7 linked regions of the Canis lupus familiaris genome follow. The protein of the gene in region 4 purifies or fractionates together with the protein of the main gene of each other region. This does not show direct contact. Links are inferred from orthologs where the notes say so. Each region holds a gene or a part of one and is shown on either strand. Other genes may lie near its edges.

What was found.
Region 1: the proteins of POLR2B (region 4) and POLR2M purify together in Homo sapiens (affinity purification with mass spectrometry; 3 studies listed by BioGRID and IntAct, counting the BioPlex papers as one, with this or other methods). This does not show direct contact. The link is inferred for Canis lupus familiaris from reciprocal best matches to the Homo sapiens genes POLR2B and POLR2M.
Region 2: the proteins of POLR2B (region 4) and MED19 purify together in Homo sapiens (affinity purification with mass spectrometry; 4 studies listed by BioGRID and IntAct, with this or other methods). This does not show direct contact. The link is inferred for Canis lupus familiaris from reciprocal best matches to the Homo sapiens genes POLR2B and MED19.
Region 3: the proteins of POLR2B (region 4) and RPRD1B purify together in Homo sapiens (affinity purification with mass spectrometry; 4 studies listed by BioGRID and IntAct, counting the BioPlex papers as one, with this or other methods). This does not show direct contact. The link is inferred for Canis lupus familiaris from reciprocal best matches to the Homo sapiens genes POLR2B and RPRD1B.
Region 5: the proteins of POLR2B (region 4) and RPAP2 purify together in Homo sapiens (affinity purification with mass spectrometry; 3 studies listed by BioGRID and IntAct, with this or other methods). This does not show direct contact. The link is inferred for Canis lupus familiaris from reciprocal best matches to the Homo sapiens genes POLR2B and RPAP2.
Region 6: the proteins of POLR2B (region 4) and CTDP1 purify together in Homo sapiens (affinity purification with mass spectrometry; 3 studies listed by BioGRID and IntAct, with this or other methods). This does not show direct contact. The link is inferred for Canis lupus familiaris from reciprocal best matches to the Homo sapiens genes POLR2B and CTDP1.
Region 7: the proteins of POLR2B (region 4) and MED26 purify together in Homo sapiens (affinity purification with mass spectrometry; 3 studies listed by BioGRID and IntAct, with this or other methods). This does not show direct contact. The link is inferred for Canis lupus familiaris from reciprocal best matches to the Homo sapiens genes POLR2B and MED26.

Annotation. Positions count from the first base shown.
Region 1 is NC_049251.1:23,182,613-23,186,620, reverse strand, and holds the start of POLR2M (protein GRINL1A), read right to left. Parts: upstream 2,801-4,008; 5' UTR 2,667-2,800; coding exon 2,554-2,666; intron 372-2,553; coding exon 1-371.
Region 2 is NC_049239.1:38,958,074-38,962,040, reverse strand, and holds the start of MED19 (mediator of RNA polymerase II transcription subunit 19), read right to left. Parts: upstream 2,801-3,967; 5' UTR 2,593-2,800; coding exon 2,325-2,592; intron 1-2,324. Other genes in the region: TMX2 (thioredoxin-related transmembrane protein 2), read left to right, coding at 2,980-3,168. UniProt on the Homo sapiens protein: Component of the Mediator complex, a coactivator involved in the regulated transcription of nearly all RNA polymerase II-dependent genes.
Region 3 is NC_049245.1:27,117,545-27,121,799, reverse strand, and holds the start of RPRD1B (regulation of nuclear pre-mRNA domain-containing protein 1B), read right to left. Parts: upstream 2,801-4,255; 5' UTR 2,373-2,800; coding exon 2,222-2,372; intron 1-2,221. UniProt on the Homo sapiens protein: Interacts with phosphorylated C-terminal heptapeptide repeat domain (CTD) of the largest RNA polymerase II subunit POLR2A, and participates in dephosphorylation of the CTD by RPAP2. Transcriptional regulator which enhances expression of CCND1.
Region 4 is NC_049234.1:49,869,758-49,873,257, reverse strand, and holds part of POLR2B (DNA-directed RNA polymerase II subunit RPB2), read right to left. Parts: intron 2,772-3,500; coding exon 2,607-2,771; intron 370-2,606; coding exon 173-369; intron 19-172; coding exon 1-18. UniProt on the Homo sapiens protein: Catalytic core component of RNA polymerase II (Pol II), a DNA-dependent RNA polymerase which synthesizes mRNA precursors and many functional non-coding RNAs using the four ribonucleoside triphosphates as substrates.
Region 5 is NC_049227.1:57,130,708-57,134,207, forward strand, and holds part of RPAP2 (putative RNA polymerase II subunit B1 CTD phosphatase RPAP2), read right to left. Parts: intron 2,289-3,500; coding exon 2,190-2,288; intron 1,985-2,189; coding exon 1,919-1,984; intron 1-1,918.
Region 6 is NC_049222.1:894,734-898,233, forward strand, and holds part of CTDP1 (RNA polymerase II subunit A C-terminal domain phosphatase), read right to left. Parts: intron 3,416-3,500; coding exon 3,325-3,415; intron 1,164-3,324; coding exon 997-1,163; intron 239-996; coding exon 1-238. UniProt on the Homo sapiens protein: Processively dephosphorylates 'Ser-2' and 'Ser-5' of the heptad repeats YSPTSPS in the C-terminal domain of the largest RNA polymerase II subunit. This promotes the activity of RNA polymerase II.
Region 7 is NC_049241.1:46,329,858-46,333,902, reverse strand, and holds the start of MED26 (mediator of RNA polymerase II transcription subunit 26), read right to left. Parts: upstream 2,801-4,045; 5' UTR 2,617-2,800; coding exon 2,545-2,616; intron 1-2,544. UniProt on the Homo sapiens protein: Component of the Mediator complex, a coactivator involved in the regulated transcription of nearly all RNA polymerase II-dependent genes.

The sequences.
Region 1 (4,008 bases), on a different chromosome or scaffold from region 4:
GGGCTCTGCTGCTGGAGGCTGGGCACCTATTCACTGTGTACTCCACTTCTGGAGCTTCTTCATAGCTTTCACCAAAAGGATGTACAAGTCCCTGTTGCTGTGAGGTTGTTTGAGATGACTTGATGTTACTTACAGAGGAAGAGCCACAAACTAGTGATGAAGTATCAAGTACCTGGTCAGAATTCTGGGCCTTATCTGTGTCCACATCAACAACTGCAATTGCTTTTTGCTTTAGCTCACAGTCTAAACTAACAGGATGAAACAGTTCACTTTTTCTTCTAACTTCTTCACATTCTGCAATGGCAGCTTTCAGTTTGGCAACAGAGTCTAAGATCTTTTTACCTTTGTCGGGCAATTTGCAAATGAATTTTCTGTTAAATGGGGAAAAAAACACACATGTATTTGTTAGAATCATGTTTTTAAACTTGAGATACAAAGACAAAAGCATTATCCTCAAAGGGAAAAAAAAATCTATCTTTAAGCCAAAAATCTGACTTCCTACTGCATCAGAACAGGAATAAAGTAAAACGCATTATCTAAATACTCTAAAAATACATGATGCAGAAATAAGTATTCCTCATCTGTCTAATTAGAATTTCAGCAAAAGTATTTTAAGCACATAATATCCTATAATACACCCCAAAACTCGCAGTTTTTAAAGTGTGATGTCCAAGGCCTTCCTAAGGAGGGGACGTGGATGGGTCTGCATGGTCAAAATTATTTTCATAATAATACTAAACCATTATTTGCCATTTCCATGCTCCTTTTCTCATATGGGTATAATGGGAGTTTTCCAGAGGCCACGTGATACTGCTCTGATGGCTAATCACTGTGTATTCTTGTGTTTTAAAGATCTCTCACCTGTAATTACTTTTTTTTCTAATTTATTTATTTTTGGGAAGAGAGTGAGCGCAAGACCACAAATGGGAAAAGGCAGAGGGAGAGAAAATCCCAAGCAGACTCCTGGAGCCGACGCCAGGCTTGATCTCCCCACCGAGATCCCGACCTGAGCCAAAACCAAGAATCCAACGCTTAACCGATGATGCCACCCAAGTGCCCTTCTCACCTGTAATTCCTAACACACCAATAAACACCAGTAGATGTTTTGTAAGTAGATGTTTTGTAAAACACCAGTAGATGTGTCTTGTAAAACAAGAGCTCCTTGGGACGCTCCTTAAGTCTTAACAGTATAAATGGGGTCCTGAGACCAAAAGGTTAACTCGCTGCTATAGATTTAAAAAACCATTCTCACAAAGTACTTGAACCTACTCGAAAGCTCCCAAATGGTCATTTGTCCCTTTTGCTGACTGACAGAAATTCCTTTTCAGTTTCTCTCTCTCTCTCTTTTTTTTTTTTTTTTTTTAATCTCTATTAGAAACGGAGGGAAGATAGATTACACCTCTGGCTCTCCATTCTCTCACATTACATTCCTTCCCACAATTACAACACCGAATCCCTCTCCAGCTGAGATTCCTACATGTCCTCAGCCTTCTCTCTCCGGATCCTCATGACCACTACTCTAGCTTTCCCCCACCTCCCCAGGATTTTATTTATTCACGAGAGACACAGAGAGAGGAGAGAGAGAGAGAGGAGGGAGAGAGAGAGAGAGGCAGAGACACAGGCAGAGGGAGAAGCAGGCTCCACGCAGGGAGCCCGACGTGGGGCTCGATCCCGATCCCGGGTCTCCGGGGTCACGCCCTGGGCCGAAGGCAGGCGCTGAGCCGCGGCGCCACCCAGGGGTCCCCCTACTCTATCTTCTAAGTACATCTAACTAACTCCCTGTCCAACTCAGCACCCCCCGAGTAAACTCAACCTCGGAGCTCTTCCCCAATTTTCCTGTTCTTACCAGTGGTCCTCCCTACAGGCTGGGAACTTCAGCCATCCCTTTCAACTACCTACCCCGATTATTCCACGCCTGGTCGGAGTTTTCCCAATCCGACAACTACTCTTCTACAGTCCCCCTTGCTGGGAACTTCTCTGAAAATAACCTCCAGCTGTCGCCTGCCTCGGATTCCTCCAAAACCATCCTGCACCGATCTGCTAAATGAAGCGTCCTTAAAAAAAATAAAATAAAAAAATCACTCTCATTATGTTGTTCACCTGCTAAAGGGAAGTCGGCCAGCTGGAGGGGACAAACTTTTCCTGCCTAATGCAGCACTCCAGACTCTCCCTCTCCTTCCTACAGCTCCCGTAGGAACGGGACCGAGACGGAACTGACCCGGTGTCCTGGGCCCGGTCCGGGCGGCAAGGGAGGCGGAGGTGCCACGGGATTTAGGCCACGGCCCCTCCCTTCAGGGAGCCGTCGGGGTAGCAAGGTCATTAGCACCGCGGAGGACTCAGGGAACAGCTGAGACTCCAGCAGCCGGCCGTTGGGCCCTCGCGCGGCCGCCTGTGCGGCGGGAGGCCGTCCGCGGGCCGGCGGCACCCCCGGGTCTGACGGAGGGAAGGTCACCTTCCAGGGCAGGGAACCCGACGCGGGGGAGGGCAACGAACGCGTCCCAGGGAGCCCCGACCGGAGAAGCCTGGCGGTGACTCGGCGGGACCCCAGCTTACTCGTTGCGCAAAAGTCTCTCCTGGCGCTTCAACATCTCCCGCAGCTCCGCCAAACTCCGCCGCCCCAAGTCCTCGGGAACTTGGGGCTCGAAGCCGCGGGCCAGCGAGGACATTCTGCGGGGGCTGCGGCTGGCGCGGCGGCGGGCACTCGGCTCCCTCGGCAGCCCCCGCTGCTGGCGCCGGATCCGCCGCCGGCGTGGACTCCGAGGTACGAGCGGGAGCCGCCATTTTCCCGGAAGAGCGGGGCTTCTTCGAGCCGAATCGAGCTTTATTGAAACACCGGAAACAAACACAGGCGAGGGGAAGGGGGCGCTGGGAGGAGCGGGGAGGGGCGGAAGTTACGTAAGCCGAGGGGGCGGGGCGCGCTGGCGCCGGGGGTCTCTTCGCGGCTCGTCGGCTCGGCTCTTCAGGTTTATTCGAAAAGTGTTGCCTGTAGCGCCGCTGTGACCCCCCAACACGTGTCCCCGACTCCTGCCGTTGTGGAGCTTACCGAGGGGTGGAGGGAGGCAGACACTAATCAGGTAATGGTGAAACAGCAGTAAGAGGGGCAGCCCGGGTGGCCCAGCGGGTGAGCGCCGCCTTCGACCGGGGGCGTGACCCTGGGGACCCCGTTTCGAGTCCCGCGTCGGGCTCCCTGCAGGGAGCCTGCTTCTCCCTCTGCCTGTGTCTCTGCCCCTCTCTGTTTCTCACGAATAAATATCTTTTAAAAAAGAAAAAAGAAGCCCCCCCCCCCCCCCCCGGCAGGTGCCTTCTGAGAAGTGGGATGGAAGTGGAAACTCGCCCTTGGTGAAGCCGGGGGAGTGTGCCGGACGGGGCCCAGGCGGCCAGGGCTTAGTGAGGTCCTCAAACTAAGTTGGAGGGATTTTTCGTGACTATCAGCGTTTCTTAGTGGGACTCAGTGGCATTCGGAGCAGGACATTTATGTGTCTGGCTTGCGCCCTCTGGTTCAGTGCAGCTCCCAGCTCGGAACAATCCCCGACGCCTCTACCAGTCCCCCCCCCCCCCCCCCCAGCCCCCCGACCCCACCCTCGGCCCGCCCCGCAGGTACACAGGCCCCTCCAGAATCCGCCGGAGGTGATGGTGGCAGGTGCCGGACAAGTCAGCCTGAAACCGATCCTTCCTAACTGCCCAATTCGCCCGTGGGAAAGCAGAGGCGCAAAATCAATGAGGTATTCCCAGGGCACAAAACTAGTTAAGTGGCCGCACCAGATGTCACTCCAATGCCCAGCTACTCTTTCTACCACACCCGTTTGGAAAAAATCTTCTTTTTTTTTCCGCCTATTTCCAAATGTTTAAAACTGTTGAAAGTTTTTTTTTGTTTTTGTTTTTTTTCTTTTCAGGTTGTTAAGAATCTTAAGAGTAGAGCAGTGTAAGAAGCATCCCAGGTGGCTCTGACTTTGTCTTTACAGCTCAGCTACCAGAGCTGTGTCCCAAAGCAAAACTAGGAAAAGCGTG
Region 2 (3,967 bases), on a different chromosome or scaffold from region 4:
GTTTGTCTTAGGAAAATTGATGTAATTATAAGACAGTTATTCTAAGTTTTCTTCACCCATATGAAATTTCCAAGGTTTGGCTCAAGTGACAACTCTGTCATTTTGGATCAAGGAACACATTTTGAAAACCAACATGTAGTTTTTTGTTTTTTTAAGTAGACATCTACTCTCAGTGTGGGGCTCGAACTTACAACCCCAAGATCAAGAATTGCATGCTCTACCTACTGAGCCACCCAGGGGCCCCCATCATGTAGTGCTCAATAGTATATGAGGTATGATCACGAAGTAATGAGATCAGCCTTAACAAGAAATATAGTCACTAACCTTTTTTTTTAAAAAAAGCTTTCTTTTTTAAAGACTTTATTTATTCATAGAGACAGAGAGAGAGAGAGAGAGAGAGGTAGAGACACAGGCAGAGGGAGAAGCGGGCTCCATGCAGGGAGCCCCACACGGGACTCGATCCCGGGTCTCCAGGATCACGCCCCGGGCTGCAGGCGGCACTAAACCGCTGTGCCACTGGGGCTGCCCTATAGTCACTATCCTTAAACCACATATGTTATATCCCTATGTAAAATAAGCTCCTTAAAAGCAAGGGCTAGATTTATTCTTTTCCTTCTCATCAGGTGCCCCCCTTCCTACATACTTGCCCCAAACAGGTAGTAGCATCTGTCAAGTGGTTGATATAAATAGGTACAATTTTATAAATAGAATAAATAAGGTTAGAGAAAGTGCTGGTAGACATCAACCCCTAACTGACCAAAGGAGAGTCAACCTCTCTATGCTTTAGTTTTATTCAAGTGTAACATGCCTATCTCAAGAGGCTATTCTCAGTATCAAATTCTATTACATACCTAACTGCAACTGCACTGTGAACTTCAAAGCACCAGGCCAATATGCATTATTATTTCCCTCAACCCCTGATGTAGCAGTAGAACTTGGGAGGAACTGAGGGGCAACTTGGAGATTTAACGTGTCCAAAGCGACTCTTGATTTCCATTTCCTCAAACGTGTTCCTTCTTGGTCTTAGCACTACCATCCACCCAACTATTCAAGCCAGGAATTCACAAGTTCCTCCCTACTTCTATATTCAACCCTTCATTCCTCTAAGCTCTGCCCCTAACATTTACCCTGCATCAGTTCACTTCTCTCCTGCACTGCTACTGCCTAGTCCAAACCATCATCTCCTTCCGGGACTACTATGCAGTAACTTCTGGCTGATTTCCCCACTTTCCATTCTTAATGTAGTTGTTTGGATAATTAAAAATAAGTAAAATCAGATCGTGTCACTTTCCTGTGTGCTAACATGGCTCCCCCTGAGGGGCATCTGGCTGGCTCAGTTGGTACAGCAGGTGGCTCCTGATCTCGGGTGGTGCATTTGAGCCCCAGTTTGAGTACAGAGATTACTAAAAAAAAATTTTTAAAAATACAACGGCTCCCCTGAACTTAAAATCTAAATGCTTTACAAAGGCTGTCTCCCCCACGCCCTCCATCTCCTATCACTCCTTCCCTTGAAACTTCACTGGAGTCCAACTGGTCTTCTGATCCTCGGATAGTCCATGGTTTTCCCTCACACCAGGGCTTCTGACCTCATTTCTTGCGTGTTATCTCTCCCACTCACACGTGACTGGCTCTTTACGCTCAAATATTATCTACGCGGAGATGGCTTCTTTGATCACTCTGGCTAAAGCCTCAACTCTTTATCACATTTTCTCCTTGTAGCACTAACCACTGTGTGATGTTATCTAGTGCACTGTGCCGCCGCCTCCTTTGAAATGTAAACTCCAAAACAGGCAGAGGTACCTGTCAGCCCTAGTCACTTCTGTATCTTAAGCATTTAGAACAGTGCTTTTGGTACACGGTAGGTGCTCAACAAAACAATTCTTTGGTTCGAGTCTCCTCCCTCCTTCGGGTAGTTGAGGAAACGCGGAAGCCCTCAGGAAGACGGCAACACGCCTCAAACCAAGAGCATGTCTGTGACAGATCTGGAAAACCTTAGGTCTGCACGGATGTTAAATCAGGCGTCTCGAGTTCCAAACTCAAACCCCGGAGAGTTTTCAGGGAACCATAAGCTAGCATCAGGGACAGAGCCAGATTCGGTGTGAAAGATGGGTCGCCGAAAGGCCTTCTCTCCCCCTTCCCAACCAGGCCAAAAATTCATGTCAACCCTTCGGTCGCGAGTCCTCAGCGCCCTCCCGACTCGGAGCTCCGAGGCCCGGCACGCGTTGCCTAGGATACCCCGCACCTCCCCCGGCTGGCCGAGAGCCACGCCCACCGCCTCCTCGGTACGATCCGATTGGCTGCCTTCTGCCAGGCCTAGTACTCACCTGGCAGTTCCCGCATAAGGTAGAAGGGACCGCAGCCAGCCGCCGACTTGTCGGCGCCGGGGGGAGCCGTGGCCGCGGTGGACGGCGGGGCCGTGCCGGGGCCCCCGCCCGGAGGAGGGGGAGGAGGAGGTGGAGGCTTTCCTGGTCCGAAGCCGAGCGCGCTTGGTGGTGGTGGTGGGTCAGCTTGAGCTCCGAACAGCGCCGAGAAATTCTCCATCGTCTCCTCCGCCCCGGCGCGGTCCCTGTGTCTGGCGTCGGTCGTTTTCATTGGACAATCCTCTCACGATGTCCCGCCCCCTTCCTCTAGGAGCCGCTTTTCATTGGGTGCCCCGCCTACCGTTTTCTGGCAGCTACTTCCGTCGCTTTATGAGAACGTTCCGGAAGTGCTATCTAACTTGCAGAGATTCCCCTAAAGGCCGTCTCCGTGCGCCACCGCCGCATATCCAATAAAATGACTTAAGTGGAGAAAGCGACATCTAGGTCGGCCAATAAGACGTCAAAGCCCCTTACCTTCCGCAACGTCCAATCAGAGATCTACTTCCGGGCGCGGAGGCGGTGCATCCGAGGCCAAACCCAATGGAAGGCTCGCTGGTGGAAGGGGCGGGGCCAGACCTACAGACGCCGAAGCTCCGCGGGCGCCGCAAAGGCCGGAAAGATGGCGGTCCTGGCACCTCTAATCGCTCTGGTGTATTCGGTGCCACGACTTTCACGATGGCTGGCCCGACCTTATTATCTCCTGTCAGCCCTGCTTTCTGTTGCATTCTTACTCGTGAGGAAGCTGCCCCCTCTCTGTAGCAGTCTCCCCACGCAGCGCGAAGACGGCAACCCGTGTGACTTTGACTGGGTGAGCGGACCCCGCGACCTTCACTGTCCCTGCTCCCCGAGGTTGCATGCGGGAGCCTCGAGGTCCCGAGCCCGTCGCGGCCTCACAGACTATTAGAATGTGGGGCCTGGAGCATCGTCGAGCCTAAACCTCTTCGTGCTTCATTGAGATGGGCAGACAGCGGGTTAGCCTGCACGGCCGCCTGGCTCTTAGGATTCTGGAGTGCAGGGTTCTTCCCATCGCCCCGTTCATGCTGGTCAGCGGCCGTACCCAAACTCGCCACGTGTCCAGTATTTCACAGGGCCGCCCTTTATGTAAAGCTTCTGGAGGAGCTGGTGAGGTATAAACAAGGCGGGTCGTGGTGCCCCCGTTTAACTGATGGAGAGCTTGACCTCGGCGTAGTCGCCAGGGAGCCCACCGGTGAGGGACTGCGACCCGCAGCCACCCCTGCACGCTTTGGCAGCCGTTCCTGGATTCAGTTAACACTCCCAGGGCGCGCGTTACCTGCTAGGCCCGCTGCCGCATTCCGAGGATGCAAAAACATCAACACAGGCGTTAGGCCCGCTGAAAAGGAATCGTAAAAACAAAATTGTAAAGAAATCTCCCTTGAGACTTGCTGTCCTCGAGTAGGTGCGGAGTAAAAGGAGTTGAAGCTCTGTGCGCCCTGCTGTACAGCAGCGGGTGTGTTCTGCGGGAAGGGAAGGGGGGTCAACCTGAGTTTTCGTCTTTTTTTTCTTCCCCAGCCCCCAAAGTGAGTCTTGACCTTTACCAGAACCCACTCCCTTATTTTGTTCCTCCATCCCTTGTTAATGCTTTCCTA
Region 3 (4,255 bases), on a different chromosome or scaffold from region 4:
AGGAATCTACCTCTCCCCCTTTTTCTGCCCTCCCCCTCCCCTGAGTTCTCCCTCTCAAATAAATAAAATCTTTAAAAAAATTTTTTAAATTCCTTAGTCACATATTTCAAATGCTCAATAGCCACATGTGGCAAGTGGCTACCTTGTTGGACATTATGGATATAAAACATTTTACAGAAAGTTGTATTAGGTCGTGCTGTTTAGATCCTCTGTTCAACCATGAAAATGAAGTTGGAGACAATCGAACTCCTAACCTATTTTTAAACTGTGTAACAGGCACCATGCTAAATGTTATGGGTGTTGAAAAGAAACAAGGAGACCTAGTTTCTCCCTCAAAACACAAACCTAGTGAAAAAGACAAAACTAGTAAGCATGAAATAAATGCTAAATTGGTATGGGATGGGGTGGGATACATTGACTAATTCTGATCAACATAAGTGCTATGGGTTTGGTTGGAGTCCAGATGATCACCTTCACTTATTAAGGGGCACTGAGGCACTGGATACTTGAAAGTACAAATTTTGGCATCAGAGGGCTCTTGCTTATGCTCCAGCAATATGCCCCTAACAAAGCACTAATCTCTTCATATCTTTACCTTCTCATCTATAAAAGGGAGATAACAATGCTGGTCTCCTTAAAACAGAAGGTTCTATGAAATTAGGATCACATGAGATTAGGGTTAAAAGTGCTTCATAGATGAATGCACTCTCTAAATTGTTATTTTCCATAACTCAAGTAGGGTAGAAGGAGGAGAATTCAGGGGCTCCAGACTCTATTCTCCAACTGCCCGGAGGGGACCCCATCTCAGTACAGCATACAGCACATGTATTTGTGGGAAGGCGAGTCTCTGCGAGGCTAGAACTGGGTCGGTCTCCTGGAAGAATCCAGGATCTTGGTGTCTGACAGCCTAATGCAATCTAGCCTCACCAGGTCTAAGGCACTGAAAACACCACTTAACCTACTCCATCTCACAGATAGTAGAAAACACATGTAAAGTTACTTCCTATGCTATCAAGGGCCTACTACACAGAGGCTAATCTAAGCTCCAAAATGGCTCTAAGCTTCATTTCCTCAGCTTCCTGGTATGGAATTATCAGGTTAACAGCTATAAAAGTGCCTATCCTGCCCCACCAGGCTACAAGCAACTTGAAGGCAAAGATCATGCCTTACATTGAGTCACCAGTAGTCCCGTTTCACCATTATTTATGAAATGCCTAAACTGTGCTGGACACCATGCTAGATGTTCATTTGGATTATCCTGTTTACTCCTTACCACAGCCAAGTTGTTTGAGCCTCAGTTTTCCTCATCTGCAAAGTTCCTACTCCAGAGAACTCTGAGAATTTAAAAAATGACAGTGTATGTAAAAATATCAGTACTGCGCCCGGCACATTATTAAAGGCACAGTAAATATCAGTCTTCATCACCTCCATGTCACAGGTAAGGAAACTGAGGGTCAGAGAGGCTAAGCCGCTGGGGTCAGTGACTAGCAGAATCAGGCTTAAATTCCAGGCAGATGGCCTCTGGAGCCAACGTGTTATCAGGCATCCAACCCGGTGCCTGGCACTGAACGGGCTGAGCTCCGGGTCCGTCTGTCAGATCCTGAGCAGGGCCTGGAATCAATGAAAGATGCACGAGCCTGAGAGGCAAGGTCTAGGCAGCTCGGCCCGAGGCGTCCACAATGGGGGTAACTGTACCCACTTCACAGATGTGTCCGAGGACCCAGTGTGAGGATATCCAGAAAGGTCTTGGCATGCTTGACCCGCACAGAATAAAGGCTCTGCAAGGGGCAGCTACCCTCGTCCTCGTCCTCTGGATGAGAAAACCAGAAGCACAGAGAGAGGAAGACCCTAGCCCAGTGTCATCCAGCTAGTAGGCGGCTGAGCCAGGACTGCATCCGGGCGGGCAGTCTCACTCCAAACGCTCAGCCAAGCCACGGGCACACAACAGCCTAGGGCCAGTGCCCTCTACGAGGCTGTCGAGATAAGAACAGTCCCAGGTGTCAGGAGTAGCCTTGGGGGGGGGGGGGGGGTGTTGGACGAGCTCGCAGTCTGGGAGCCTCACGCAAGTACCCTGAACCTACCTGGGCCTCAGTTTCCTTCTCTGAGAAATGGGGATAACACTGCCTGCGCCCCTCAGAGGCGCAGAGGCCCGGGCTTGGAAAGCAAGCAGCTGAGGGGAGCCTCGGGAGTGGGATGGGGGGAGGGCCCAGGGGGTGTTTACCTTTGCGGAGCTCTCGGTGCCACACAGAAACGATAGGTCCCGCGTGCTTGCGGTGGTGGATGAGCCACAGCGACAGGGTCTGCACGCTCTGCTGAGAGTTGCTCAGCTCCGAGAGCTTCTTCTCCAGCGCCGACTCGGAGAAGGAGGACATGGTGGCGGCGGCGGGGCCCTGCAGGGAGCGGCCTGGGCCGCCCAGTGCGGCGGGAGGAGCGACCGCACGAGGCCCGGGCCTCACCTGACCGCCTGCGGGGCTCTTTACTGACTGACTGACGGCCAGGGGGCGAGGAGGGGGAGGGGATGGGTCTCCGCAGTAACAGCCGCCCGCGCCGCCGCCACAAGATGGCCACCGACCTCTCACCCCGCCGCGAGCAGGGTCAAAGGGCAAGGGCCGGAGTAGCTGGGCACCGGGAGGTGTCAGAGCTACAGAAAAACGCCCCTCCAGTGGCGGCGGCCTCCCCGAACCTCGCTCAGGGCACTTCGAAAGCGACAGACGGGCAAAGAAGCGCAGTCCGGCGGCCTCCGGAAGGCGCTTTGACCGCTCGCGCCCGCACGCAGGCGCAGGGAGTCTCGCCGGAACCCTTTCTCCCGCTCCCGCAGAACCTTTCTGGCGCTCTGTGGCGCGCTAGTTACACGTCACTTCCGGCGGGGCGAAGGAGGCGGGAGAGTGAGGGAAAGGCTGGAAGACGAGGTAAGGGAAGAGTGGCGGGAGCAAGAGGGAACCCAGCAACCGGGAAGCCGTAGAGGGAGATCCGGTAGAGACACTCATGTCGAGGGATCAGGAATGGGTACGGGGCGGGGGGGCGCTTTCTCCCTCGTCTGGCAGGCCCCAGGCCGCAGTCTTCTCCGTACCCGTCCTGCTCTCCGCCCCCCCACCCCCAGCTTCCTTTTGGTTGTGCCAAGCCACCCACGTGCACTTTTCACGCCTTGGCTCTTGCTGTTCTTTCTCCAAAGGTGACCCCTCGCCCCCCGCCTTCTCATCTGGTGTGCCCGCACTCGATCTCCAGGACCACCCTTTAATGTCCAGTTCTGAGCTTTACTCTGACAGCACTGCCATAAAACACACCTTTGTGCTCTTAATTTAGTTGCTTCTTTGAGGAAATTGCGTGCTGCCCTTGTGCTGCCCTTGCCCTCTGGGGGGTCCATTTGACCGTTTCTCAAATTTAAGCAGTATGTTAACCTTTTTGAGAGTGGGGGCAGGGAGGTCATTGGTTCCATTGATCTCCTTTAAAACGCTGTTTGAGACTATCCTCTTTACGTATTTTTAAAACGTTTTAAATTCCAACGATCAAATCAGTAGAGAAATTTGTCCTTCCAGCTGCTGTGGGGTTGGTGGTAGGGAGTTAGGTTGTTGTACACATAACAGAGTTTTAAAAGATCCTGGTTATCGTGGAACTTACCAGTTATGGGGAAACCCTAGTTAAGAGACATTCTTCTAGTTGACTGTTTTTGCTCTCACTGCACCATATTGTAGCTCTTTGTTTAGCTCTTTCACTCCTCTTCCAGACTAGAATCATCGTAATCATATTTGTAGCCAACATAGTGAGCAATTGCTATGAGATTAGATGCTGTTTTCACACAGTAACACATTTAATCCTCACGACAGAGCTATATAAGGTAGTTATTGTGTTATTCTCATTTGGCAAATTAGGAAACAAGACAGGTTAGGCGACCTACCCAAGATCACATAACTAAGATTAGAGGGAAAGGACTGCATCTTTTTTAGTTTTCTCATCCTGCCACCTTATTCAGAGCTGATTGGGTGAATTAATATAAAAAAGGCAAATGCCCTAAAATTACACAGTCAAAATGTAGTTATAATTGTAACCTAGGGCCCCCGAGTCCAAATCTGGACCATGTTTCTATATTAAGCAGCACTATCACATACTGAATGAACACTTACACCAAATCACTTTGTATTAAGCACATTACATATTTTGTTTTACTTAATCCTTAACAACATTTCTGTGGGATGTGGATTATTATCACTATTTGAAAGATGAGAAAACATAAAACATAGTTGAGTAATCTGTCCAG
Region 4 (3,500 bases):
AACCTATGAACCATGTACCTTGAAAAAAAAGAAAAGAAACAAGAAAATGAAAAACAATACATATGGCTTTTGGCTTTTTAAAAAACTTGTATATTAAAAACACCATTTCTGATATTTTTAACTTTAAGGAAAACTTTATCTCGACAGTATCTTGGCAAAAATCTTAACATACCCCAAAAAATAAGCTTTTTTGGTCTCACAAAAGTCACTGACACCAACATGAGGGAGCATTTCTTTTTGTAAGACTTCTTTTGCATATTTAATTCTTTTCTCTTTAGTGACCCCAGGCTTTGCCCCTCTTGAGCCAATGAAATTTAGTGCAACATTCTGCTCCTGGATGACAAAAGCTTCATCGAGAGAAGGTTTCACCTATCAGAAAATTCAAATGAAAGTTATTTTCAAATTCATATTTTCACCTTAAAATAAGTAACTGTTAACTTTCATTTATAACTTGTTAAATATCCCTATGTACTTAATAGAATACGCAAATATTTTTTTTAAAAAACAAGGAACCACAAAATCCTAAAACTTGAATAAGTCTTAAGATCTAGAGATCTGACAGAATCTACACAATTACACTTCCTAAAATAATACAAATAACCCTATTATTTAAAAAAAAAAAAAAAAGCAGTTTTTGGTTTTTACATTTTAGTTAACAATGGCAAAACAAAAATTCCTAAATATCTTACACCAATTTAGAAAAGTTTAATAGTCAAATTAAAATTGACTCAACTACAAATGAATAAATGCACTAGGCTGGTTTTAGTCTTGGTTTTAAGAGGTTTTTAAACCTATAAATAAAACTACTCTGTTTTTTGTAAAGCACAATATTTCAAAGGCAGACTGTTATAGAGACCTACACGTTCTATACCTGCAGCAAAGTGGGTGTGGCCTCTAAGCAGTCATGTAATCAGTTTCCTTGTCTGAGGTGGTCAGACATGATAATCCCCAAGTTTTACTCACTCTAGTTCTAACATTCTAAAATTCCATTTTACATAATGAGCATGAAGAATGGGTACCACTTAACTTTGGCCTCTGTATATACACTTGAATTCTATCACATTTTCTGAAATGTCTTTCCTGCCTCTGACTTCCTATGTCTATTTATCACTGATTCTCAAAAGTCTAAAAATATCCATATTCCAATCATAGAACCAACGATCAGAAAAAGGTAACATAAACCAGTCAAAGTGAGGCCACAATATGGCAAATGGAAGTGGTCTTTTTAAATCATCAATGTTATGAAACTGTTTTGTTAAGGTTAATATGGATTTGGAAAAAAGGAAAACAAAAGAAAAAATTAAAGTACTCTTGCAAAGTGAATGGCTTGACTCGGACTGTAAAAATTGGCCTAAGCTTCGTAAGAGCTAAAGGAACAAGCAATAATTAAAAATAAGTATGTAACAGACATAAAGCAAATCAGCTCTTTCACTTTCCTAAGAAAATTCCAGTTTGAATATGATCTGAATCAATTTTGAATCATTTGCAATGCCTTTTGGATTAAAAGATAATAAATTTTCTTAAATACTTAAATAATTACTATCTTTAAGTATTTAAAGAAAACAAACAAAAAAAAAAAACACAAAAACGCGACCATTAGTAAAAGCTAAAAGTAAAATCTAACCAGAATCCATTTTTCTCATGGAACTGCATCAATGCTCTAATAACTAATGTACTCATTCTGCTATCTCACTTTGTGACCAATGTTTGGCCTCCATTTAACCTTCTTACTTAGTAGTCCTAAAGACTTTAGACAATTCAGGACAACTGGCAATAACCTAAATAAGATCTATGGCCTAGTAGTATTAAAGCTAAGTATTATGAATATGTAAAGAATGTCCTGGTTTTCATAGGAAATACACATTGAAGTATTTAGGAATAAAGGGCACAATGCCTGAAACTTACTCTCAAATGTAGAAAAAAATAACATGTATAAATAAAGAGAATGCTAAAACAAATGTAGCACAGGTACCAACTAGTGAATCTGGATGAGAGTATACAAAAGTTCTTTGCAACTTTTCTACAAGTTTGAAATTATTTCAAAATAAAAAGTTAAAAAAGGTTATCAACTATTCATTTTCTTTTTTTACTATACATTTCTTTTTTTTACTAAATTGCACCATATGGTATGCTTTCATGATTTTCTTACTATGGTTTCTTCTTGTTGCTATCGGTGAACTCTGGCTGCCTCTAGTTTTTATGTCTATTTTACACAGAATTGTCAAGAAAGAAGCTGAAGCAAGGCTGAAGGCTTTTGCTACACAGTAAATAGCATGGATCTGTGGCCGCTAAATTACTCTTCAAAGCATCTTTCTACTATGTTTTAAGATTACCAAGTCAGTAACTTTAAACCTCTCATTAGAACACTGCGAATAGGGATCCCTGGGTGGCGCAGCGGTTTGGCGCCTGCCTTTGGCCCAGGGCGCGATCCTGGAGACCCAGGATCGAATCCCACGTCGGGCTCCCGGTGCATGGAGCCTGCTTCTCCCTCTGCCTGTGTCTCTGCCTCTCTCTAGCTCTCTCTCTGTGTAACTATCGTAAATAAATAAAAATTAAAAAAAAAAAAAAAAAAAAGAACACTGCGAATATATTTTGCTTTACATTACCATTTCCATCATCTCTGGATCTTCAAAATCATAAATAATATGCTCTAAAATATCTCTGTCAGACACAAAACCTAATGCTCTAAACACAATAATGATGGGAACTTCCTGCTTGATATATGGTAGAGTTGCCACAATGCGTTGACCAATAGCACTCTTTTTTGCACCCTAGAAAAATAAAACATTAGAATATCAGTACAAAGAGATCACGGTCACATAAAAATATCATAACCATTTCATACACATGTCCACAGTATGTATTTCAAAAGAAGTATACCTTTCAAACTTTAAGGAATGTCCTATGGCTGCTTGCCAAAGACACTGAAACAGGTTTACTAATTCTATGAACAGGCTGATCATTTAGACCTAAGAGAACTTCCATCCTCTATTCTATGCCTGCCAAGACTCTCTTATTAAAAATACACACACAAAAAAAACAAAACACAAAAAATTCTCTGGAAGAAAGACATAACGGGTCAAAAAAAAAATATGTAGGGTAGCCCAGGTGGCTCAGCAGTTTAGTGCCACCTTCAGCCCAGGGCCAGATCCTGGAGACCTGGGATTGAGTCCCACGTCAGGCTCCCTGCATGGAGCCTGCTCTCTCTCTGTCTGTGTCTCTGCCTCTCTGTCTCTCATGAATAAACAAATAAAATCTTAAAAAAAAAAAAAAAAAAAATATATATATATATATATATAGGCAAACACAGGAAAAAAGCTAAGCATGAATGAAAAATATTAACTCAGAGCTGGTAAGGTATCTCATTTGAATAGTATTTCAAAATTAAACAGCCTCTCTCACATAATTTTTTTTCCAATTTCTCTTTAATTGTATACACATACAGAAATGAAACAAAAGTTACTAGCCTACACTTTCATAAAAACTGGCTTCTCCATTTT
Region 5 (3,500 bases), on a different chromosome or scaffold from region 4:
TCTATACCCATTAAACAACAATCCCCATATCTGCCTCCTCAGATAATCACCATTCTACTTTTGTAACCATGAATCAAACTACTCTAGTTATCTCATATAAGTGGAATCATTTAATATTTGTCCCTTTTACAGGTTTATTTCACTTAACATGTCTTCAAATACATCTATGCTGTAGTATGTGTCAGAATTTCCTTCCTTTAAAAGGGTGAAGAACATTCTATTCTATGAATATAGCATATTTTGTTAATCCAACTAGGAACATTCCTATACATACATAGCAATACATACAGGCAAGAAATCCCTAAGAATATATACCAAAGAACAGAAAAGTTTGGCCATAAAAAATGTGTGAACTTGACTTTACTAGATAATACCAATTTCTCAGAAAGATAATACCAATTTCTTCTCAGAAAGGATGCAATTTTATTTAACCAGTAGAATAAGGAGTTCCTAATATTTAACCAGTAGTATAAGGAGTTCCTAATATTGTTAGATTTTTATAATTTTGCTACTTTGGGGGCTGAGAGAATGTAAATCAATGTTTTTATTTTATTTTTTTAAAGATTTTATTTATTCATGAGAGACAGAGAGAGAGAGAGAAGCAGAGACACAGGCAGAGGGAGAAGCAGGCTCCATGCAGGGAGCCAAACGTGGGACAATCCTGGGTCTCTAGGATCACGCCCTGGGCCGAAGGCAGGCGCTAAACCGCTGAGCCACCCGGGCTGCCCATGTAAATCAATGTTTTTATTTGCTGTTTTCCTGACAAGATTGATCATCTTTTCATTCATTATCAAGTTCCTTCTATAAAATTTTTCTAGGGACACCTGGGTGGCTCAGCTAGTTAAGTGACTCCTGATTTTGGCTCAGGTCATGGTCTTGGGTTTGGGAGATGGATATTCTCTCCCTCCCCCTCTGCCCTTACCCCCATTCGCACACATATGCACTCTTTCTTTCAGAAAAAAAAGAAAAAAATTCTACTAGGTTTAGTCATTTCTATGGAAATATACCTCCTTCTGATTTATGGCTTATCTTTTCACTCTTTTTTGGAAACTTCTGATAAGCAAATGCTTTTATTTTTTTATTTTTTTTATTTTTTATTTTTGCTTTTAATTTTAATGTAGAAAAAAACTTACCAATTTTTCCTCTATTGTGTGTAATTGTGTACCTTATTTAAGAAATTCTCCATGTTTACAGAAACCTTCCCATATTCTTTGAAACAGTGTTTATCTTTTAACCTTAAATCTTTAATCTACCTAAAATTGATTTATTTATGTACACTGAAACAGGGATCAATTTTCAGTTTTTCCATTTGGATAACTATTACAGGGATCAATTTTCAGTTTTTCCATTTGGATAACTATTTGTGCCACTACTATTTATTGAAAAATTCATACTTTCTCCACTGATCCACAATATTCTTGTTATTATATACAAAGTATCCACATACATGGTTAGTATGTTTCTGGATCTCTATTCTGTTCCTGATTTACTTGCTTTAAGTTGTGCTAGTATGCACAAATTTTAATTTTCAATTTAAATTTTATTTTATTTAAATTTTATTTTTAACGGGGGAGGGAGAGGCAGAAGACAGAGAAAGAATCCCAAGCAGGCTCAATGTCCAGCACAGGAGCCTGATGTGGGACTTGATCTCACTACACTAAGATCATGACCTGACCCAAAATCAAGAGTTGGGCGCTTAACTGAATGAGCCACCCAGGTGATCCTGCACTTTGAATTTTTAAATGTTCAAGTATTTATTAAAGCATGAGCAGTTTTTTCTAATATCTTGAATGAAATATTTTCAAATAAACTTTTAGCATGGCTACTTTCTAAAAGGCAAACTTTTCAACTTTTTAAAAAAATTCCATTTAGTATATTAAAAATTAACTGCCACAGTGAGAACAGCCTTTAAGCTTACCTTTCTTTCAGTAATATCATAGACTTTATTGGTTTTGGTAGAAATTTTATATTTCTGTTTTGGTACCTAAAGGGAAAAAATAAAGTATAGCTTAAGAAGAATTCAAGTAATAAATATAAACTTTATGTTACAAGATTAAATTATCTACATATCATAACTTTGGCTAACTCATGTCATTAGTTCAAGCCTGTTTCACTTCTTGTCTTATCTACAAAGTATTTTGCTAAATATAAAAAATTAAAGCTTCTATTTTAAAATATTTGTTACTTACAATTCCTAGTTTCTTCTGACATAAAGGATAACCGCAGAGTTTGATAATAGAACGCTCATCCACGACATCGCTGTAGTGAGCAGGTGTGATGAACTTCCCCTACAATGAAATGAGAGGAGCATTTCCCCTGCTAAATTATTGGAAAACTTAATTTATCAGTGCTCTACACCTCACTGATCTCATCAGAAAATAGAGGGATAATGTCTAGCTCATAGGTATGATGGAGAGGAGAAAATAAATACACTCAACACATAGTAAGCACTCAAAAATGTTAGCTATTATTAAAAATACAAACAACCTGAAAAAACTTCTGCCAGGAGACTGTGCATCTTTGTAGATACATAGTCCATGAAATAAATCTGAGGCAAGAAAAAGAAGTGGTGCTATAGCAATTGCTATTCCAAAGCAAAACACTAAAAAGTGGATTTCATTTTAAAAATGTACTATTCAAAAAATTAGTCACATGTAAAATAAAATATAATTTACCTGTTTTTAAAGAACTATCTTTAAAAACAATGTATATCAAAGGTGTGCTTGTGAGTCCTGACAAATTTTTCTGCAAAATCTTTCAGCTTCTGAAAACCTGTACAGGGGACTTATAAACTAGGTACTTATAAACTAGTATCAATTATTTCCCTTTGATATACTCATGGTCAAATTTTAACGCAATAGAGTTGTTAAAAAAAGAACAACTTTTAATACAGATTACAATTCTCTTGTTATGTGTTAAATCATAAGTGATCTATATTTCAGGTTTTTAAAATATCAAAACTAAAAGAACTACATTAACAAAAATAATAACCTTCTGTTACTAAAATAGGACAACACACAGAATATGGAAAATAACATTGGGATAATTAGTGCAAAGTGATGAAAATCAAGTGAGATTAGGAGACTTGTTTAAAGAACTATTATTAAGTGGTTAAACAGGCATGTTATTTTTCTTTAGTGTATTTTAAAGTCATTATACAACCAGGAATGCGTAATAGTTATTATTTTAAAATGCATGAATTAGGGCAGCCCCAGTGATGCAGCGGTTTAGCACTGCCTGAAGCCTAAAGTGTGATCCTGGAGACCCGGGATCGGGTCTCGTGTCGGGCTGCCTGCATGGAGCCTGCTTCTCCCTCTGTGTCTCTGCCTCTCTCTCTCTCTTTCTGAATAAATAAATAAATCTTTGAAAAAAAAATAAAATGCATGAATTACATAGCATGCTCCCTGCATCTTGTGACTGAGAACAGAGTCAAAGATTTTGATAATGCAAGGAAGTTTCATATCGTACAGATTTAAATAATGTAATAATTTCTCAACACA
Region 6 (3,500 bases), on a different chromosome or scaffold from region 4:
CAGGCGGGGGGCCCCTTGCCATCAGCCAAGGGGCCACGGGTGGTGGGCCGGGCTCCTCTCTCCTCCTCCTGCCCAGGCAGGGGCCAGTCCCCTCGTGGAGAGGCGCCCCCATTGAGCTCCCTCATGGGCTTCCCAAGGCCATTACTTTGCTCAACCCCAGAAACCTGCCGTCCTTCCTCGATCTCCCTGATGGACGGAGCTTGTTCTGGGCCATCAGCACCTCTTGAAGACTGATTTACTGCAGGTGTGCACAAAACAAAGGGTGACTGTTACATAACATCCAACATGAACCCCCTTCTCCCATCCCCTGTGTTTGTCTCTAGACCTGGGCTCAGCAAACTGCAGCTGTGAAGGCAAATGTTTAGGTTTCTGGCCACAGATGGTCACTCTGTTTTGGTTTTCACAACTGGTTAAAATGTGTACAGGACGCTCTAGGCTCCCATGCTGTGGGTGGACACCCTGCGGGAGGCCTCGTGACTACAGCAGTCACTGTAGGCTTCAAACATCGTGTCTACAAACTAAAGATCATCAGAAACACTTCACACCAAAACTTTACATTTTCTTCAGACAGACTCTGGCTTCACACTTGTCCAATAGGTTAAGCTGTGTGGCTCCCTGTAGGCTCTGGGCCAACGCACAGTGCCAACCACCAGCTTGCTGGAGCTGCTCCACCCCACAGCTCACGCTTTCCAAGGATCACAATGGCCAAATTCCCAATGTCCTGCTTATCTTTTAAGAGAAACCAGTATGACAGGGAGGATTCAAATATAATGAATTAAGCTAATTCTTTCATCTTTATTCAATTGGGAAAACACTTAGATCAATACTATTTAAAAAGAAAACCCCAAGTGAGAACCAAACGTTGTGCTTTTCGTTATTTTATCATGAACACAGACAGGCAGCTCTGTAAGTACTGAAATACAAAGGAACAGAAACAAAGTGAGCCTTTGATGGCAGCTGCCAACAGGGGCTGCTGGGCAATAGGCCTTCACCCACCTTTCCTTCTTGCCTGGGACTCCCGAGACCCAGAGGGAGCGTTGATGTCTCCTATGCCCTGGAAGTAGACGTATTTCTTCACGGTGATCAGATTGGGGGCAAACTTCCAGACATCTTCTCGATCATCAATGATGCAGACCATTGAGTCTCCACAGGGAAAGAGATTTCTAGAAGTAAAAACATACCCGAACTAGCATATTTTGCAAGAAAATAATCTGTTAGAAGTCATGACAATCTTTTCCAGGCAGCAAGCAGATTATGGATTAGACAGAAACAGATGGGAATGACACCGAGGGACTTTGTTTAGCTCATATTTAAACTCTCAAAGTTTCCAGACAAAGCAATGTTAAAATAACTCAGCTTTCTCCACTGTCTCTGATACTCCTTAAGGCAGGAACCAGCACATGTTCCTTATGGAGCCACAGTGTGGAGTTTAGAGTGTGGGGGCTGTGTCCACGTTCTGGGAAGCTGGCACACAAATGGTCGTGTCCCAGGACATTTACAAATACAGGTGACAAGCCTGTGAGCCAGTCTGCAGACTTCTGCTTCACAGCTGAGGGTTTTCAGGTAATGGGGGGGAAGAGACATGACCATATATCTCCACCGTGGGAAATAAACCATGGTTTCCTGCAGTGCACCTACGTGCTCTCAAGTCCAAGAATGCTATTAGAATATACAGAGTCAGCAGAAACATTAGCGAGGGTTCGCCATGGGACAGACGCAGGCACGCTCTATTAACCGCACACAGGCTTGTAAATTCTATTTCTATCTACAATTCTGGGATTCAGACAGGCTGGTAGCATTCAAAATTCAAAACCGATTTCTTGGGATCCCTGGGTGGCGCAGCGGTTTGGCGCCTGCCTTTGGCCCAGGGCGCGATCCTGGAGACCCGGGATCGAATCCCACATCGGGCTCCCGGTGCATGGAGCCTGCTTCTCCCTCTGCCTATGTCTCTGCCTCTCTCTCTTTCTCTCTCTGTGACTATCATAAATAAATAAAAATTAAAAAAAAAAACAAAAAACAAAAAAAACAAAACCGATTTCTTCTTGGATCTGGAAATAACCCTGGGAGGACTGCCGGCCCCTGCTGAGTCCCCTAGTCGCTAATGGCTCCAACTACCCAGGAAAACATGTTCATGTGTCCAAAATTAGTATCTCCTGAGTCTGTTTCCCACAGGTAAATAAAAGGCAGCTAAAATAACTTGCACAGTCGAAACTTTCTGGCATATTGACTCCAGATGAGGGAGATAAAAACTAGGAAGAGCCCCATTGCCTGTACCTATACAAGCCATATCACCTGTGCCTGCCGGGGAACAGGCCGCTCCCCTCTGGCGTTCTCACTGGGGGTAGGTAGCTTCTCCCTGAATCTATCACTAGATGGATCTGTCTTCATCACTGATCACCGTGACAGTAACTAGGACACACGAGGTTGGTTTCTGAAGCAAGTACTTTCACGTTCTCCTCTGGGTTCCTACGGCCTTGTGTGCCCACATCCTAAATCTGAAACAGGAAACGCTGGACAAGGACGACCAACACCAGCCAAAGCCAGGGCCCCAGTGTAACTGCCCAAATATCCTCAGGGACCAATGTGCATGAAAACAAGTGTACCCTACGGGAGGGAGGGAGTGTGTGTGGGGAGATGGATGGACTACCTTTCTGGGTAGAAATGGGAAAGTTCCTTGCACAGAGTGAAGAAATTTCCAAACATGTACAAGAGCCTGTGGATTGGGGGTGGGAGCACCCTACTGTGAAAGCAGGGCAGGCAGGGGCAGCGGGTGCTGGACAGGAATGTAATCAGGGGCAGATGGGATGGTGACAGATCTGGGAGTGAGCCAGTAGGATTAGTGCATGCACACTCCTAGGGAAACAACCATGAGACACCAGCACCAAGCTCTTGGAGGAGCTCTGGGTCCCTTTGCTCGTCACCTCCCACTCTGCCCTGCCCCAGCCCTGATCTCAGCACCCCTTCCTCAGACCCTGGGGGAGCCCACCGCTGCCTGGATGCTTGGGGATCTGAAGGGGAAGAGGCTGGGCGACAAGACAGCAGGGTTTCTGAGCGCTGTGAAGATAAAGCCAGAAGCAGGAAGAATAAACACAGAAGGGGATGCCTGGGGGGCTCAGTGGTTGAGCGTTTGCCTTTGGCTCAGGGTGTCACCCCGGGGTCCTAGGATCAAGTCCCCCACCAGGCTCCCCCCATAGGGAGCCTGCTTCTCCCTCTCCCTATGTCTCTCATGAATAAGATCTTAAAAAAAAAAAAAAAAGTAAACAGAATTACTGGATTGCCAGCCTGATGCACTTTCTGCCTCAATGAACACAGCCAAGTACGTACCTGAGGTTCCCTGTTTTAGAAAACGGGTCAATACATTCGTCCCTTGATAATATTCGATGAGAAAAAAGCTTCTTTTCAGGGTCTAAAAAGCCTTTGAAAAGAAAACAGAACAATGGTGAGACATATGACCAGCTGATATTTTCCCCCAGGGAGCTTGCAGTCTTGGGCAATGGACA
Region 7 (4,045 bases), on a different chromosome or scaffold from region 4:
ATAAAGACAACTTTCCTCTTAAGGACTCATTTGTCAAGGAGATGGTCAGTTACTTTGTTACTTCACTAACTTCTCAGATACTTGTGGGTATTAGGTCAGCTGCCTGACATTGATTTTTTAAGCAAAAGCTAAGTTTGTTAACCATAACTGCATGCCCATAAAGGTAAGCATTATATGACACAATTCTGTGTCGCTTCTCTCAGAAGAGGTTTAATTTTAGTGTTGGCTCTTCAACACTGTCCCCATTTTTTTTTCCATGAGTATCTTAAATATGTGTCAACTAACTATCCCAAAGTGGAGTTCATAATTGGGCAAGGTAGAGAAAAGCAGCTGTGCGCCAGCGATGCTTTCTTGTAGTTACCTCACTCTCACCTGAGCCCAGGTCAATCCAGAGAAACTGCAAAATTATGGTCGCACCATCTCTGCCGGTAACCTATTCTGCCACGGCTCCAGTTTCTCAGTGGAGTTTGCTCAAAGCCACACTCCTGTCAAAAGGTTCTGACGAGGCTCATGGATGGTCACTAGCAATGGCAGCATTTAAAGAGGCACTTTCCTCATCGCTCATATTCAGAGACATGTTTCCCAATTCCACTCACCACACTTTTATTAGCAGAACTCTATGCACACCCATCGGTAGTCCCTCAAAACAAACCATATGAAATGTGAACTACATGCCATTAAAACCATGGGCTTCTATGAATGTATCATCTCTGCACTCACTAAAATACAAAAAAACTGAGATTTGTTTTCTTCTCTCTCTTCTGGCTAACCTTCCTTCCTCCTCTCTCCCTAGGAACCTTTTAGATTACAGCGTTACAGAACACTGGAACCCCTGAGGTCACTGCTCCACCTAATCTACAACATCGTGACCGCCTGTCAAAGCGCCTCCTGATCCCAAAGCTCTCCTAGGTGGCATTAAGGATCAGTGCTAATATCTCAGCAACCTCTCAGACTCTCCTGAAGGCAAACAAGCACATGGAATTCAAGAAATTACACTCTGGATAAAAGATGCAAAAAGTCACCAAGGTTACGTTTCTCGTGTCACTTGTTTTGTCCTCTAATATTTCAATGTTGGAAACTGCAGCAGCACCAGGTACTGCAAAAAATTCTAGAAGGTTTTATATAGCTTGCGCCTACTCCACCCCCAAAGTCATAACAAAAACGTATACGACATTTGTTAAAGACAATTACCACCAAGTTGATCTTATTGGGGCCTGAAGAGGATTACTTATGATACAAAAACCAGCGTCTTAAGAAGATCATAACTTCGCAATTTTTACCAAAATTATACAAGCCAAGGCGAATAACTCTAAAAATACCAACCTAAAACAGAGTGTTAAGAGTAATTAGTCAAACTCATGTAAGGAAAAACAAAAACCCTACAGAAAGAGAAACCTGAGTTACCTAGCCCAAGATAATATTTTTTCCTTCGATCTCCAGCATATTAAAAAGTGATCTTAATGGCCACTTCCTGGTCTCCCAGCAAATGCAGGGGCTCGCTTCATACCTGGATACCACAACATCTTCCTATTGCTCAACCTGCTCCTGCCACAGGGGAAAATAACCCCTACTGCCAACAATCCTTTGGAGAAAATATGAGAACACTATGAGTCTTCCCCTACACACACGAAGGGGGGCAGAGGAGATCCCTTTGCAAACGGTAGCCTCGGTGGACCTCCGTCTGAGAAAGCCACACTCTGGGGTTAACCCTGACCGTCTAGGTGACAAACCACCAAGCTGGAACACTCAGGTGAGGGGTAGGGATAGACGAAGGAGGGCTCTTGAACAAACAGGAGAGAAAATAATCACCTCTAATTCACACCAAGAAGCGGGGCTCTGGCTCGGTTATAGACGCAACGGGCATTTAGGCCCAGAAAGGTAATAGGAAGAATCCCACCGTCCCCGAGATCATCTACCGTCAGCAGCGTTCCCAGGAGGGATCGGGCAAAGGCATGTCCACCGGCAGAACCAAGGGGGGACTCTCCACGCGCCCTGGGCAACCGGCTAAGGGCAAAGTAGGCTGGGGGTTCCCTATGAAGCCAGGAAGGTGCTTCCAGCCGGGAGAAGAGGGAAGGAGGACTTCCCTGATCACCCAAAAGGCCGAGACACAGGCGGCATAGGCTCCCGAGTCATACCCCGGACACCAGTTGCTCCACAGCCTTTCTCCTTCCCCTCCCCCCACGCCGGGAGGACTTCCCGGGGGTCGCGGGTCCCCGGGGAAGGGCGAGGTGGGTGAGCTCCGTCAGGAGCAGCAGGGGTCGTAGAGCTGGAGCGAGAAAGAAGGGAAAGCTCTGGCCTCAGCTCCCGTCTGCTCCGTCCGCCCAGGCCGCACGGAAGCCTCGGCCTCACGTACCGAGCGCCGCCAGACTGCCCGACCTGCCCCCGGCTCGGGCCCGTGGGGCGAGAGACCGGGATGGCAGCGGCCCTCGGGGGTAGGTGGGCGTCGGGCGGGTTCCCCGGAGCCCAGCGGGCGAGGGGCACTGGGGAGGGGGAGGGTCCCGGGCCCACGCGGCCTCCGTCCCGGCCCGCGCAGCGGGTACTTACGTTGCTCTGGGGGTCGATGGCCTGCAGCAGCCGGTCCCTGATCTGCTGCGGAGACGCCGGAGCCGCTGTCATTGCCTGGGCGAGGCGGGGGGGAGCGGCCGGGCCAGCGGGCGGGCGGGCTGAGGCGGGGGACGGGGGTCACTCACTCGCCGGCCTCCGGGAGCGGAGCCTCATGTTCCCCGCGGCGCCGGGGGAGGAGGGGGCGCGCGGGGTGGCGGAGAGGGGAGCCGGGGCTCGGGCCCGGGGCGCCACCGCCACCAGAGGAGGAGGAGGAGCCACCGGAGCCGCCGCCGCTGCTGCCGCCGCCTCGAGAACCAAACTCCAGTGAGCTGCCCCCGCGCGGAGCACTCTGGGTAACCCGCGCCGCACGCAGCGTCGGCGCCACGCTGAGGAGGTTGGGAGATAGGGCGGGCGGAGACGCCGGGCCTGGGCGGGGCTGCGCGCGAGCCCCGCCCAGGGCCCACACGCATGCGCGCGCAAGCGCACTGGACCGCCGCCCCGCCCCGCCCACCGCCCGGCCGAGGGAGCCGTTGGGAGGCGGTTGGGCGGGGCAACGGCCGCCGCCTGGAGGCCCCGCCCCCGGCCGGGCCGTGGGGAACTGAGGTTTCCGACGGAAACGCGCGGAGCGCGCCGAGTCCTTGAACCTGGGCGCCCCGGGCGGCCGCCTCAGAGGGGGGCAGCGGAAGGACTCCTCACTGGGGAGAAAAGCTTTCCCCACCGACGGAGGTGACGGGAGCCGCGGGCGGGGGAGGCTGCCACGTTTTCCGAGCCGGGGGTCCTCGGCCCCGAGGGCGAGGGCGACAGGTCCACGTTGTGGTAGCGCGCGCGGCAGGGTCAGCGGGGGGCGCCCCCCCGAGGGCGGAGGTCTGCGGCGCTGGGCGTGCTGGGATCACGGAAACGGGTCGCCGAGCGCCTCCGGGGGGAGGCGGAGCCGTCACGCCAGCTCGGGAAACGCCGCGGCCCGCCCAGGGAGCCCACCGACCCCGAGGTCGCAAACCCGAGTCCGCCGGGGTTGCTCATCCTGGGCACCGATGACGTGGGTGGGCGGGCCCCGGCCGCAGGCGCCGTCCTGCGCATTTTAGGGTACTCCGCATCCTGGGGCTCTACCCGTTCAACGCCGGTGGCGCTCTCCGGTCAGGTCAGCCAGAAATGTCTAGTCATCGCCAGACGTCCCCTGGCCGGCAGGGCGGCCCCGGTGGAGAACCCTGCTGGCGCGGAGGGTGCTGAGAAACGGAAACCCTCATTCTCTGAACAAAGCATTTCACAAGAGAGGAAACTGAGGCCCAAGGTCACCCAGAGTTCTAGGTCAAACCCAGAATTGTTCAATGTCAAGTCTAAGTGGAGTCTCCTTCCCCACCCCCACCTCGCTGCCTGGAAGCCCCGATACTGTTATGGGGCTAGAAGGCAGGCTGAGTGGGTTATTAGCCGCAGCCTCCCGAGAGAGAACTTTTTGTTGTTGTTGTTACAGGAAGACCTAGATTTAAAACAGGAGAGAGGCAGC